3 linked regions of the Neurospora crassa OR74A genome follow. The protein of the gene in region 2 interacts with the protein of the main gene of each other region in a pairwise test. Links are inferred from orthologs where the notes say so. Each region holds a gene or a part of one and is shown on either strand. Other genes may lie near its edges. The genes, in order: ypt-1, NCU03191 and NCU06404.

Region 1 (3,751 bases), on a different chromosome or scaffold from region 2:
TGCTGCTGTTAGTCTATCATCAACGCAGGGCGAAGAGTCCCGGGGTCAGTGGATATGGGAAAACGTAGGTAGAGATACGTATAGCGTGCAGGCAAAGTCACCATGGATGGGAAGAAGAGGGCCTGACAAGAGATGGAAAGTCGGATCCTGGCTACGGGTATAGTTGTAAAGCAAGCTTTTAAAACCGAGTGTCTCTTCAATCCTTGAAGCGGTTGATACCTGCGATTACTGATTGAATTGGGGTGCTTCAACACAACAAATCCTCAACTCTGATATGGCTGGCTATACTATCCGTGATATGGGACAAGGGGCATTTACCGACCGTCGATTGGACTTCTCATAAATATACTGCTGTCAAGACCCTGGAGAGTGGGTTATCCACAGCAGTCTGATCGTGGCCTTTGGATCAGCCGGCAGGATGTCCAAAATCTCAATGTTTACAGATCCAGTTAGACTATCAAACTCTACTAGCATAACCAAGTCCGTCACTTTGAGAGACTTCATCAAGCGCGAGTAACTATCGAGGACGTCTAGAGCTGGCTAAGGGCTTGAAGTCTGGTGAGCATTTGTTTTTTATGCATGGGTGTGCCTGTACGTGTGGTTCTTCTTGGTGTAAATGTGCCGGTCATCTCTCTGAAGCGAAAGGTTTCCTCTATGTGTGAGAGAGCTGTAGCATGGAAAGATCAGTGGGTTTGCCTCAAAACACAAAAATAGCAAAAACTGTAGTCTAGCTCCTTAAAAAAAAAACCAAAAGTAACAAATGTGTTTAAAAAAAAAAAAAAAACCGTGCCGCGTCCTCAGTTATGCCCAAGACCGAAAATACACACACGCAACACACACACCCCCAACATCATCAAGGGTCGTGGAAGCTCTCTAAGAAGCCCGCCGCCCATCCCATGTCTCAGCCAGCCACTCTTTCCCCCCTTGCCCTTTGCCAGGAATCGTGACGGACACTGGTGATGAGCCAACTATTAAGCTCCCTTTTCCGGTGCGTTCGATCACCATCCTCTTAGGCCCCACCCTAACCTGTCCCGGCAAGCGAAGAAGAGCCCGCGGAACCGTGTGATGAATTCCCAAGGTAGCATGTAAAGCCGCCCCAAGTCTCCTCCCATGTTCCTCGCAAAACCACAGAAGCAGAGCCGAAACATTCCCAACTGAGATCCCATTAGAGCAGCATTTGCATCACAGCTCAACCCAGTGCCCACGCCGTAACATTCAATCGCATCATCATGTCGTCAAACACCGTCCGATGCGAAACCGTAACGCCAAGAGCGCAACCAATGCCGCAAGGCACAGACGCTTTAGCAGCAGCCGCCGGAAGAGTTGTTGGAGACGCCGTGGCCGGGGGAGACGTTGACGCTGGCTTTCGTGTTGTTGGTGGCGATGGAGCTGCCCATGCGCTCCTTGATCTGGCGGGCCATGGTAAGGAAAGCCTGCTCGACGTTGCTAGCGTTCTTGGCGGAGGTCTCGAGGAAGGGAATGCCCAGGCTGTCGGCGAACTCCTGTTGGTTGATGTGTAAGTATGTGGCTTAGACACGAGGGTTAGGGGTGGCTGTGTACCTTGGCGACTGTGTACTCAACAACCTTCTTGTCGGTCATATCGCTCTTGTTGCCGACGAGGAGCTTGTTGACGCCCTCGGTGGCGTAACGGTCAATCTCCTGAAGCCATTGCTTCACGTTGTTGAAAGAGTCCATATCCGTGACATCGTAGACAACGCAGATGCCGTGGGCGCCACGGTAGTAGGAAGAGGTGATGGTACGGAAACGTTCTTGGCCAGCGGTATCCCACTGAATAAGCGACTGGGTCAGCGAATTTGGATTTCCAAAGTGTCCAGGAGTGCCGGGGGGTTGCTTACGATCTGGAGCTTCACGGTCTTGCCATCAAGCTCGATAGTGCGAATTTTCTAGCCAAACGGTCAGCATGTTGATGGGGGTCGAACGCATGTGTTGCGCAGGCAGGATAGCAGGACGTACAAAGTCGACACCGATGGTGGAGATATAGGACTCGGTGTAGGTATCGTCGGCAAAACGAAGGAGCAAGCAAGACTTTCCGACACCGGAGTCACCGATGAGGAGGAGCTTGAAGAGGTAGTCGTATCTGGTTGCATCGTCAGCAGGGTTCTTTGGGGGTGGTGGCGGCGGTGATCGGTCGAGTCGCGAAAGGGAAGGGGACGACGTCGGGTGAAGAGGGGAAGCGGTGGGCACCCTGAAGGTTAAACATGTTAGCAATCCGTCATGGAAACAACATGGGATACGGGCGGCGGCGATGATTGTAGGTGGCGGCAGCGTGGCGGCGGCTTACGGTGATTTGGGAAGAGCAGGAGAAGGGCAACAGGAGACGTGATTAAACCTACTACTCAGGGTTCATGATGGGCAACGAGGGACGCGCTATGCGATGTGGTGGTGTTGGGTTGAGTTGGACAGCGAAGAAATAAGGCGGGTATCGTAAGGTGGACGGTGGTGGAGCGAAAGATGGATGGTTTCGCTGAATGAGATTAGGTGTAGGTCGTTGGGGGTGGGAGGTCGGTCTGTTGGTTGATTGATGATGTGGAGGATTGTAGAAGTCTAGTGTAGGTGGGCGGATGGAAAGGCAGCAACAGCACGCAGCATAGAACCTGGAACGGGCAACACGCAGAGCAACTTAACACGGGCAGTTGATGGAATGGGAGAGCGCCCTCGGCTGTCCTGGCTGACTGCTGGCAGCGAGTGGCAGTGGCAGCCCACCCACACCACCCGCACACTCTCCGGGCGGGGGGGTGATTGGCGACCGCCGGCCAAGAGGCGGGACACTGATCCATCCAAAACAGGGGACTCAAGCGGTGACGATGCACGTGACGCAGCAGCCGCCTCCTGACCCTTTCCCACTTCAGTTGCGGTATGTACGGTATTGCACTAACAATCTTGGAGTCGTCCCGATGATGTGCATTTCACAGCTAAACAAGTCCCAAAAGAAAAAAAGACAAAAAAAAACAATGATGATGAAATGTGGTTGAGATTCCAGGTTATTCTCTGTCCAAGAGACGACAACAAAGTACGGCTACGGAACTTTTTTGTTTTGGTATACCTCGAAAGTGCTTTGGCCGTTGTTCCCATGGCTACCTTTATTATCGTGGACTTGGAGGCTGGGCCACCTGAGCGGTGTCCACATGGGCTTCCATTGAATGAATGAATGTATCAATGAATGAATGAATGAATGGATCAATGAATGAATGAATGATTCCCTTTTTTTTGGATTTGGGAGCAACATTGATTCACGGGTCCAACGGACTCCTGATCTTAGGAAGCTTCTAGCTTCAGTTAGGTTCCATCATCCAGCACATTTACATATGTATGCCGATAAGATAAGGCTCATGTGAAACAAGTGTACGAACGAAATGAGACCTCAAGGTTCTGGATATTTGACCACAACCAAAATTACGATGAAGCATATGTCGTTTCATTGTATGCAACTAGGTTGCTCTCAAAGCCTCCTGACCTACACAATGTCCATGGATAGAGTGTTGATGATCAAGATCCAACCCCACAAAACATCACTATTGGAATCCCTGTCCGTGGGGAGATCCGGTGAGCAAGTGGAAGCCGATCCACCCGATTACCGACCCTCTTATCAGCTCTGTGGTCAACCATCCGAGCCAATCCGTCACTGACATCATTCCACCCGCTGTGCGGCACTCTTCGTCAGAGAGACAAGTCAACCACTTGGCGTTTTCACACTCTTGCAAATTGCATTCAACCCGGCCTTATCTTGCAT
Region 2 (3,751 bases):
ACAACGTCTTGGTCCTCGCGACCAAAGACGCAATCAAGGTGGAGCAGGACATGGAGGGCTTCCAGCCGTTTGGCGAAATTCGCGTGGGCGTTGAGGTGTCGGAGGCTGAGATGCTGGCTCTGATGGAGGAGGATGGTGACGAGTGAAGTGGCTGATGCGGAGAGTTTTGCAAAGAATGCACACTTATCGGTGCAATCGGTGCGAGTCTTGCGGTTCTTTTCTTTATTATTATTTCTCGGTTCGGGTTGTCGGGTGGGTAAATGGGAAACGGGATGCTGTGCTCCCCTACACTGTGGGATCATGATTGAGTAAAGGGCCAGATGAGATACCATTTTGATTGGTTTGCTAAGCAATCATGCCTCTGACAAAAGCCATCTGGCGCATGCGGAAGATAGGATCACAGTTTCTGCGGAGGACATAGGGAGCTGATCTTCGGAGAAGTATAGGAAGGGGACAACGGACTTCAGGCAAACGGCAACTTTGCAACACGCTGGGGCTCACTTTGACAGAAGATTTGGCGACTGAGGAATTCACAACAAATCAGCTACCAGATAGCAGTGAGATGGATTGGCAATCGAATAATAGAAGTAAATTGAGATTAATCTTTTTCAAGTATGTTACGGAGTGTGCGGAGGGCGGTGCATAAGACAGTAAAGAGACCAGCCCTTACCATGGTCGTCACCAAGAATCATTCATAATCATCATCATCCACGGGTTCACGATCAGTGAAGACCATGTACTCTGCATCATCAACTGCGCCGCCAACGACCTTCTTCCACGCCTCACGGACATGATTCAGCGATGCATCGTCCATCAAGAGGGAAAGAGATGGGCCTGGCAGATCAAGAATCAACCCATCAAGTCGACTTTGCTTGACACCAGCAGCCTGTTCATAGTATAACTGATACAAGCACTGGGGGACTCGATCAGGGTCCACAGCGGAAAGCAAGGATTCAAGAGAGCGACTCAAGATCTCCTTGGAGTTAGGAGTCACCATTGTGGACAAGTATAAGACACCTGTTGGTTTCCAGTCAGCCATTTGCGCGTAACAAGTTATGAATGATGCGGAAGGGTTGAACGGATGAGAGTACGATCAGAATGTCAGAGGTATTTATCGTCAACGCCGAAGCTTGGACAATGTAGATAAGTATTCAAGATGTGGATCATCATAGTACTCGAAATGGGTAAATTGAAGGGAGCAAGGAAATAGATAAAACTTACTCTGACCATTGGGACATTCGCCAGTGCCGCTCGAGTGAGCGAAAACATAGACTGGGTCAGTGTTTGCTTCGCCAGGTGTTGTTAGTGAACCCGGAGGCAGAGCGACGACCGCAACGCAGGGAGTCGGCGCCCCGTCGACGGTAGACTCAAACAAGGTCTTGAGCGGAGAATCAACAACGGCCACTAGCCTGCTGATGCTCGGCTCGTCACCAACGCTTTCGTCTCCACGCACGAGCAACTTGGTTTTCACCTTGTCGCCGCTGGTCAACTCGAGCTCGATCTCGTCAGTAGCAGTCTCCATTGACTTGATACCAGCGCCAAGCATGTAGACAGCACCACCGACCGCACCGGCTCTACAGGCGACCTGGGCAATCTCGGAGATACCGCCCCATTTGGGATAGAGAGCAGCAAAGCCGGGGCCAAAGTGACCCATAGAGGTAAGATGGCGATGGACGATGAACAATCCATCCTCGGTAGTGATGCGGCCATCCAGCGAAAGCGTGAGGGTGATGATGTAGGTCTTGAGCTCGGTATCCATCTTGAAGTGCTCCTGTAAGAAGTCCACCAAGGGTTTATCGGCAAAAGGCTTCCAGGCATCTCTCTGCTCCGGACTGTCGTAGTCCAGCACAAACCGTAGAAACTTCATCAGTCCGCGCTTCGCCTTGGCCGATATAGCAGTAGTTGAAAAGACATCTTCGCGGGTGGAAGGAATGCGGACAAGGCTGGGTTGCTGTTCAGGGCCGACAGGTGCTTTGAAAATGTAGAACGATCCGACGGCGAGGAATTCCACCTGCCGGTACGCCCGGGAAGAAACCAATTGAGATAGCAGCTCCGAGCGGGCGTGGATCAACTGCGGTGCCAGTGCCAGCGAGTACGCTCTGGGGAAGGAGAGACCCACGACATCCGGCTTGGTGATAGACGCGGACCTGAAGAGGCCTTTGTCCTCGGTGGCCAGACGGTCAACCCAGGACTCAGCTTCTTGCAGGCTGAAAGCCGCTTCCGCCCCGCCATAGTAGTCGTTGGGGTCTATGTGCAAAATGTTCTTGCCCGATCGCGAGAGGGATCTTCAAGGCGGAGAACAGCTATGTCAGTCGGTCAGTTAGACAGGAGAACGATGAAAGTCGGATGAAGAAGAGCGAAAGAAAAGTTTGCTTACAGTGCAAGCAGAGACTGCTGCAGTCCGGTGCCGCAGATGACGACATCCCAAAGGGTATCGCCGATAGATCCCATCGCCATGACTAGGGACTCTGTGGTTCGCGGAACTGCCAGTCTGTTGGGAAGTAATAACTTGGGAAAAAGAACGAGGGTTGCAGCGGCAATTTTGAAATGAAGTTAAAGTTTGGTGCTTGCGGAGCCGGCAGTTCCTCGGACCGGTGTGGCTTTTTGAATCGGCCCCGCCCAAGCTTTCGTTTTTGTGGGTTTCTGTTGTTCGTCCCCCGCCTGACAAACGGGCAGACGCACGGGCCACTGGCGAAGCTTCGAAGTGGTCAAAACTCGACGTCCATCCACCCCAAATTTTCCTTTTTCTCTCATCAACCACTCAACGAAGAGACGCGGTTGCTGCTGCTGCTCTGCAGCCCAACAGTATCGCGGGAGTCTTGGGGGGCCTTTCATTAGGTTTCTCCGAAGTTGAGTGGCAGATTGATGCCACAAACAGCCCTTCTGTATCTCCTGCCTTAGAATCACCACATGTGAGGGCGGGTCGAACGATCGGCACATTTTTGCAACCATGCTATAAAAATTGCAAATGTCTTGACTGCTTTGCCAGCTCAACTCCGCGATGCCCAGAAGTTGTAGATGACTTTCCGACTCAGAAGCTCACACCTTTGCGGTTTTTATGCGCAGCGATGTTGTTAGCCGTCAAGTTATCTTGCATCATATCATGATGGCTTTGTGCGATCATCATCATTGATCACTATGTTGTACAGAGTCGTAACGGCTGAATTCGAAGCTGAACAGAGCGCTTTTGTTGTAGGATGTTCCAAGTGGGTATCCATTTACATCGCATTGCTCCTCGAGTACAAACAGGACAAGACAGGACAAGATGGTTTTGAATGGCACAGTCGCCCATCTCTCTCCGTAGAATTGGTGGTGTTTTATCCTCCTCCGGCCGCAACCAGGGTGCATCCAACATATGGGTATCTTCTTCGTACTCTCTGTCTCTCTGTCCATTGGCATGACCAAGCCGAGGTTCTCCGTCGAGATAATATTGACTCCTGATAGATCATGACTTCATGCCCATAGTCGGTGTTTGAAACCCCAGAGATCCTATGACTGCATCTAGACAAGGCCCATCATCCATCTATCTTGTCGCCGATCAACGTCCTCCACATCCGCCCCGAGAGGATCGCCCATTTTCCGCCTGTAGGCCGGCAGCCAGCCATCAAACTCCCCATCCGTGAAAGAAAACTCAAACTCGTAGTCGCAGCTCCTTCATTACACCTACTTCGTGTTACGAAGGGGTCTAAATATGATTACTGTTAGTGATCATGCATGTGGGAGGAATGACCGCCTCATGTGTCAAAGCGTG
Region 3 (3,737 bases), on a different chromosome or scaffold from region 2:
TTAAGGCGATAGGAATGCGAAATGTAGTCACAAGGTAATAATGTCGTTGCGCGAATATTACAATATAAAAGAGTGATTTTACAGGGCGTTAATTGGCGAATCTACATAGTATATTTCGCTACTGTCCCAAATTAATTTACTATCCCATATTTTATCCACCCCCTCTCCTATAGGGAGGGGGTGGAAGAGCCTTGGCGCCCAGAGCCAGAAGGCACCCATCACCCTCGAGTATGGGTCCTGTAGTGAGCGTGGTGGCATGCCGCAGTGCAGTGGTGGCTTCCTCGGCACTATGTAAACAGTCAGACCGAAGGGACCGACAAGTGGAAGTTGAGCAACGCACAGACCACATCTATCCCGTTCTTTGTGCTCGTTTCCCGAAAGAGTAAAAGAGCACCTCTTGTGGATTCGTGGCTCATGTCAACAATGTTATCGCTCACGTCATACGTCTTGATACTCTACACTAGCCATGGTTGACCAGGGCGTCCCCATCTTTTCAGGGAATATCTATCTATGTTTTGTTTTATGGGTGTCGTATCGTCATACTTTGGAGATACAGCTATAAGGGGGGCCGCGCACGAAATCTACAAACCAGAAAGAGAACAACAAAGGGGAAACAGTCAAGAGAGAAGAAAATGAAATATATTAGGAAGAGCCAAAGATCGCACCCAAACTCCGTGACCAGAATGTTTCGTTTCGCTCTCTGCCCCTCGTCCATGCTGCCAACCCAACCTCAATCCATCTATATCGATCAAGCCGGTCGTAATACTCACATGTCTCCGTATCGTCGTTGATGTCCTCAGCTCCCTAGCCTATCCATCCTACCATCCACTGCTTCTAGAGCGCAATAATAATAGACCCAATAGCGAGAAGCCGGAAATGAGCACGCGTCGTATCTTCCGCGCCGCTTCTCCCTCCTGCTCCCGAGTGACAAGAAAGGGGTTTTCAATGAGCCCTCCAGAATAACTAAAGCCGTCTTTTCCTCTTGGACCTTAGCTTCATTACAACCATAGTAAAGTCTTGAGACCGAAGATACCCTCTTTCTCCCCTACACCGCCTCTTTGTTTCCATGCGGTAGACCCGGCCGTGCATATTGGTGGCCCGCAGGAAGACAGGTGCATGTTCGATAGACGTAGGCTGTAGCCAAATAGAACTGAATGAGGCCAGACTGCTGTCATCCATACTTCGGGAGGATAAATCGGATCTCGTATCGCCATCGTGATTGTCAGCGGGCTTTTTTTTTTTTTTTTTTGCGAGCTCCAGGGTCGGGTTTCGCCGCCACACAACTGCTACCCGTTTGGCTTAACAGCACTTGCCGCCGGATCCTGACCCGCTGTTGTCGCTGACGTTCACGCCCGACGAGCCGCCAGACGCCTCTTTGCCGGATGTGTCGATGATGCGCTTCTTGATGTCGTTGGCGAGGCTGAAGAAGGCCTCTTCGATGTTGATGTTCGCCTTGGCCGAAACCTCGAGGAAGGGAATGCCAAGCTCGTCGGCTAGCGCTTGGCCTTGTTCCTTGGAAACCGCCCTCTTTTCCTCCCAGTCGCACTTGTTTCCAATGAGAATCTTGTTGACTCCTTCCGTCGCGTGTTGCTCCACGTTGGCGAACCAGGTACGGATATCTGCGAAGAGAAGGTCACGTCAGCAAAGGAGCGAGGTAATACATGGCATGGTATCCGATGGGAGATTGCTGATGCCAGAATCCGGAGCAATGGAGAGGCATGGCATCTAAAAGGCACCAATCCATCGCATTTCGAGCGTGACCTCAAGGACCACCTCTTGACCGCAACTGTCATGCCATTTTATGCGGGATGGGAATGTGGGTTCACGTACTGTTGAATGACCTTTCATCCGTCACGTCGTAAACGAGAAGAATGCCCATGGCGCCTCTGTAGTATGCCGTCGTGATGGTACGGAAACGCTCTTGACCGGCGGTATCCCATATCTGTAGCTTCACCCGCTTGCCATCGAGTTCGATTGTGCGGATCTTGAAGTCGATACCGATGGTGGTGATAAATGACGGTGTGAATGAGTCTTCGCTAAAGCGCAACAGACAGCAGGACTTGCCAACGCCCGAGTCTCCGATCAAGAGCAGCTTGATCTATGTCGTGAAGCGGTATCTCCGGTCAGCGTCTGGAAACAGAATAACCTCGCCAAACCCACTACGGGGGAGGGGGGGAACACAAGGAATGTCGCGAGAGTGCGAGCGGTGAGGTGAAGGAAAGACTCACCAGAAAATCGTAATTCCTGTTACTCGACATGATGAACTGGTGTGGGGGTTAACGCCGCCGCCCGTCGTTTCGATCTCTTGGAATGTTTCTCTGGTAGTTCGGACTCCGGAATTCGGCAAAGGGGATATCAATCGAAATCCGGCGTTTCGAAATCGTCGGGCTGTTGTACACTGGTAGTTGCGGGAAAGGGAATGGGGATGGAGACTGGAGGCTCGAATGGTGGTGACGATGCGCAGTTCAGGAAACAGGCGACAGAGCAGGAATGATGTTCAGTTGTAGGTAGGTAGTGTAGGTGAGTGAGTGAGTGGTGGTGGAATGCAGTGGTGGTGGTAGTTGAAAGCGTGTCCGCAGTGCGACGTTGACGGGCCTGTCAAAACTGCAGGGCGGTTGCACGGGTTAGGTAGTAGTCCAGCGGAGGAGGAGTCGCAGAACGAACAAACAGGCGAGAGCGCGATGGGGTCTCCTACTCCTGCACTAAGGTAGACTTGGCTGGCCGGCTACTGGGCTGCGGGCAGTGCGTACCTGGGCTCTCTCTCCCTCCAACTTTACGGGGCGATGCCGTGCGGAGATCCAATGGAAAGGCGAACAATGACGAGGACGGGGAAGGCAGAAAGGGGTCTTGTAGCTTCCACTTGTCCAAGACCTCCCTGCGTGGAGAGGAAGGAACCAAGAAAACTGGAATGTCTCAGATGCCCCTGATGTCTGATACTATCTAATCAATGCTAACCTGGGTCCCAAAGCGCAGGGCAAGTGGAAGTCCAGAGCCCGGGCAACGCGATCACCACCATAGAGGTACAATGTGAGGGTTGACGCACTTGCCTGAAGTGCTACCGAGTCGCGGGCTACACTATGTATGGGATGGGGGGTTATCTGTGCCCTTTACACCTGTACCTCCACTCTAGTGGAAGAACGCTTATTGCAGCGCGTGATCGTGGTCTAGGGGACGCGACTGTTCGGTACGTAATCGGTCAAGTTTCTAGAACCTACAATCGCCGCAACAACTCCACCTGATATTCCATTCTTTGTGTCCCTTTCAACCTTGCAGTAGATAGAGATACCAATGTGTTATGAATGACAGGATGAGCTCGAAGGACAAGTTGTTGTGCATGGCGCAAAGTGTCTAGGAAACCGGAGTGAGAAAGAGACAACTCAACTGCACTCTCAACGAATGCAACCCAAGATTCAGGAACCAGGGAGGGAGCTCTGCCACTAATATCTGAGGTCGCGGAAGAAGGTGAGCCTCGAGACCAAACGAGACCATCCGTTCATTCGCGCATCCAACAGAAGACCAGCTGTCTTTATTTGTTTGTTTTACCAGGAAAGTTGATTAAGGGGTTTTCTTGGCTTCTTCAACAAAATGGAGTATCGTGAAAGGCCAGCTGAAGCTGCAGACACAGGCGACTGGGCGGTCTCACAGCAACATGGTGAGAAAGGCGGGCAGGGCGGTGAACAGTCTATACGCACGAGACGCAGTATCCGTTGATGGATCTATAACTCATATTGGCCCAA

What was found.
Region 1: the proteins of NCU03191 (region 2) and ypt-1 interact in a two-hybrid assay, tested with the Saccharomyces cerevisiae proteins (2 studies listed by BioGRID). The link is inferred for Neurospora crassa OR74A from reciprocal best matches to the Saccharomyces cerevisiae genes MRS6 and YPT1.
Region 3: the proteins of NCU03191 (region 2) and NCU06404 interact in a protein complementation assay, tested with the Saccharomyces cerevisiae proteins (2 studies listed by BioGRID). The link is inferred for Neurospora crassa OR74A from reciprocal best matches to the Saccharomyces cerevisiae genes MRS6 and SEC4.

The regions. Positions count from the first base shown.
Region 1 is NC_026502.1:3,521,499-3,525,249, forward strand, and holds ypt-1 (small GTP-binding protein), read right to left. Parts: upstream 2,642-3,751; 5' UTR 2,369-2,641; coding exon 2,358-2,368; intron 2,099-2,357; coding exon 1,975-2,098; intron 1,905-1,974; coding exon 1,857-1,904; intron 1,789-1,856; coding exon 1,561-1,788; intron 1,503-1,560; coding exon 1,302-1,502; 3' UTR 421-1,301; downstream 1-420. UniProt on the Saccharomyces cerevisiae protein: The small GTPases Rab are key regulators of intracellular membrane trafficking, from the formation of transport vesicles to their fusion with membranes.
Region 2 is NC_026501.1:4,858,336-4,862,086, forward strand, and holds NCU03191 (rab protein geranylgeranyltransferase component A), read right to left. Parts: upstream 2,458-3,751; coding exon 2,378-2,457; intron 2,286-2,377; coding exon 1,222-2,285; intron 1,018-1,221; coding exon 689-1,017; 3' UTR 671-688; intron 522-670; 3' UTR 252-521; downstream 1-251. Other genes in the region: NCU03190 (Rec8), read left to right, coding at 1-146; NCU03192 (hypothetical protein), read right to left, coding at 3,664-3,685. UniProt on the Saccharomyces cerevisiae protein: Substrate-binding subunit (component A) of the Rab geranylgeranyltransferase (GGTase) complex. Binds unprenylated Rab proteins and presents the substrate peptide to the catalytic component B.
Region 3 is NC_026504.1:2,622,783-2,626,519, forward strand, and holds NCU06404 (GTP-binding protein), read right to left. Parts: upstream 2,927-3,737; 5' UTR 2,259-2,926; coding exon 2,229-2,258; intron 2,099-2,228; coding exon 1,831-2,098; intron 1,620-1,830; coding exon 1,300-1,619; 3' UTR 433-1,299; downstream 1-432. UniProt on the Saccharomyces cerevisiae protein: Involved in exocytosis. Maybe by regulating the binding and fusion of secretory vesicles with the cell surface. The GTP-bound form of SEC4 may interact with an effector, thereby stimulating its activity and leading to exocytotic fusion.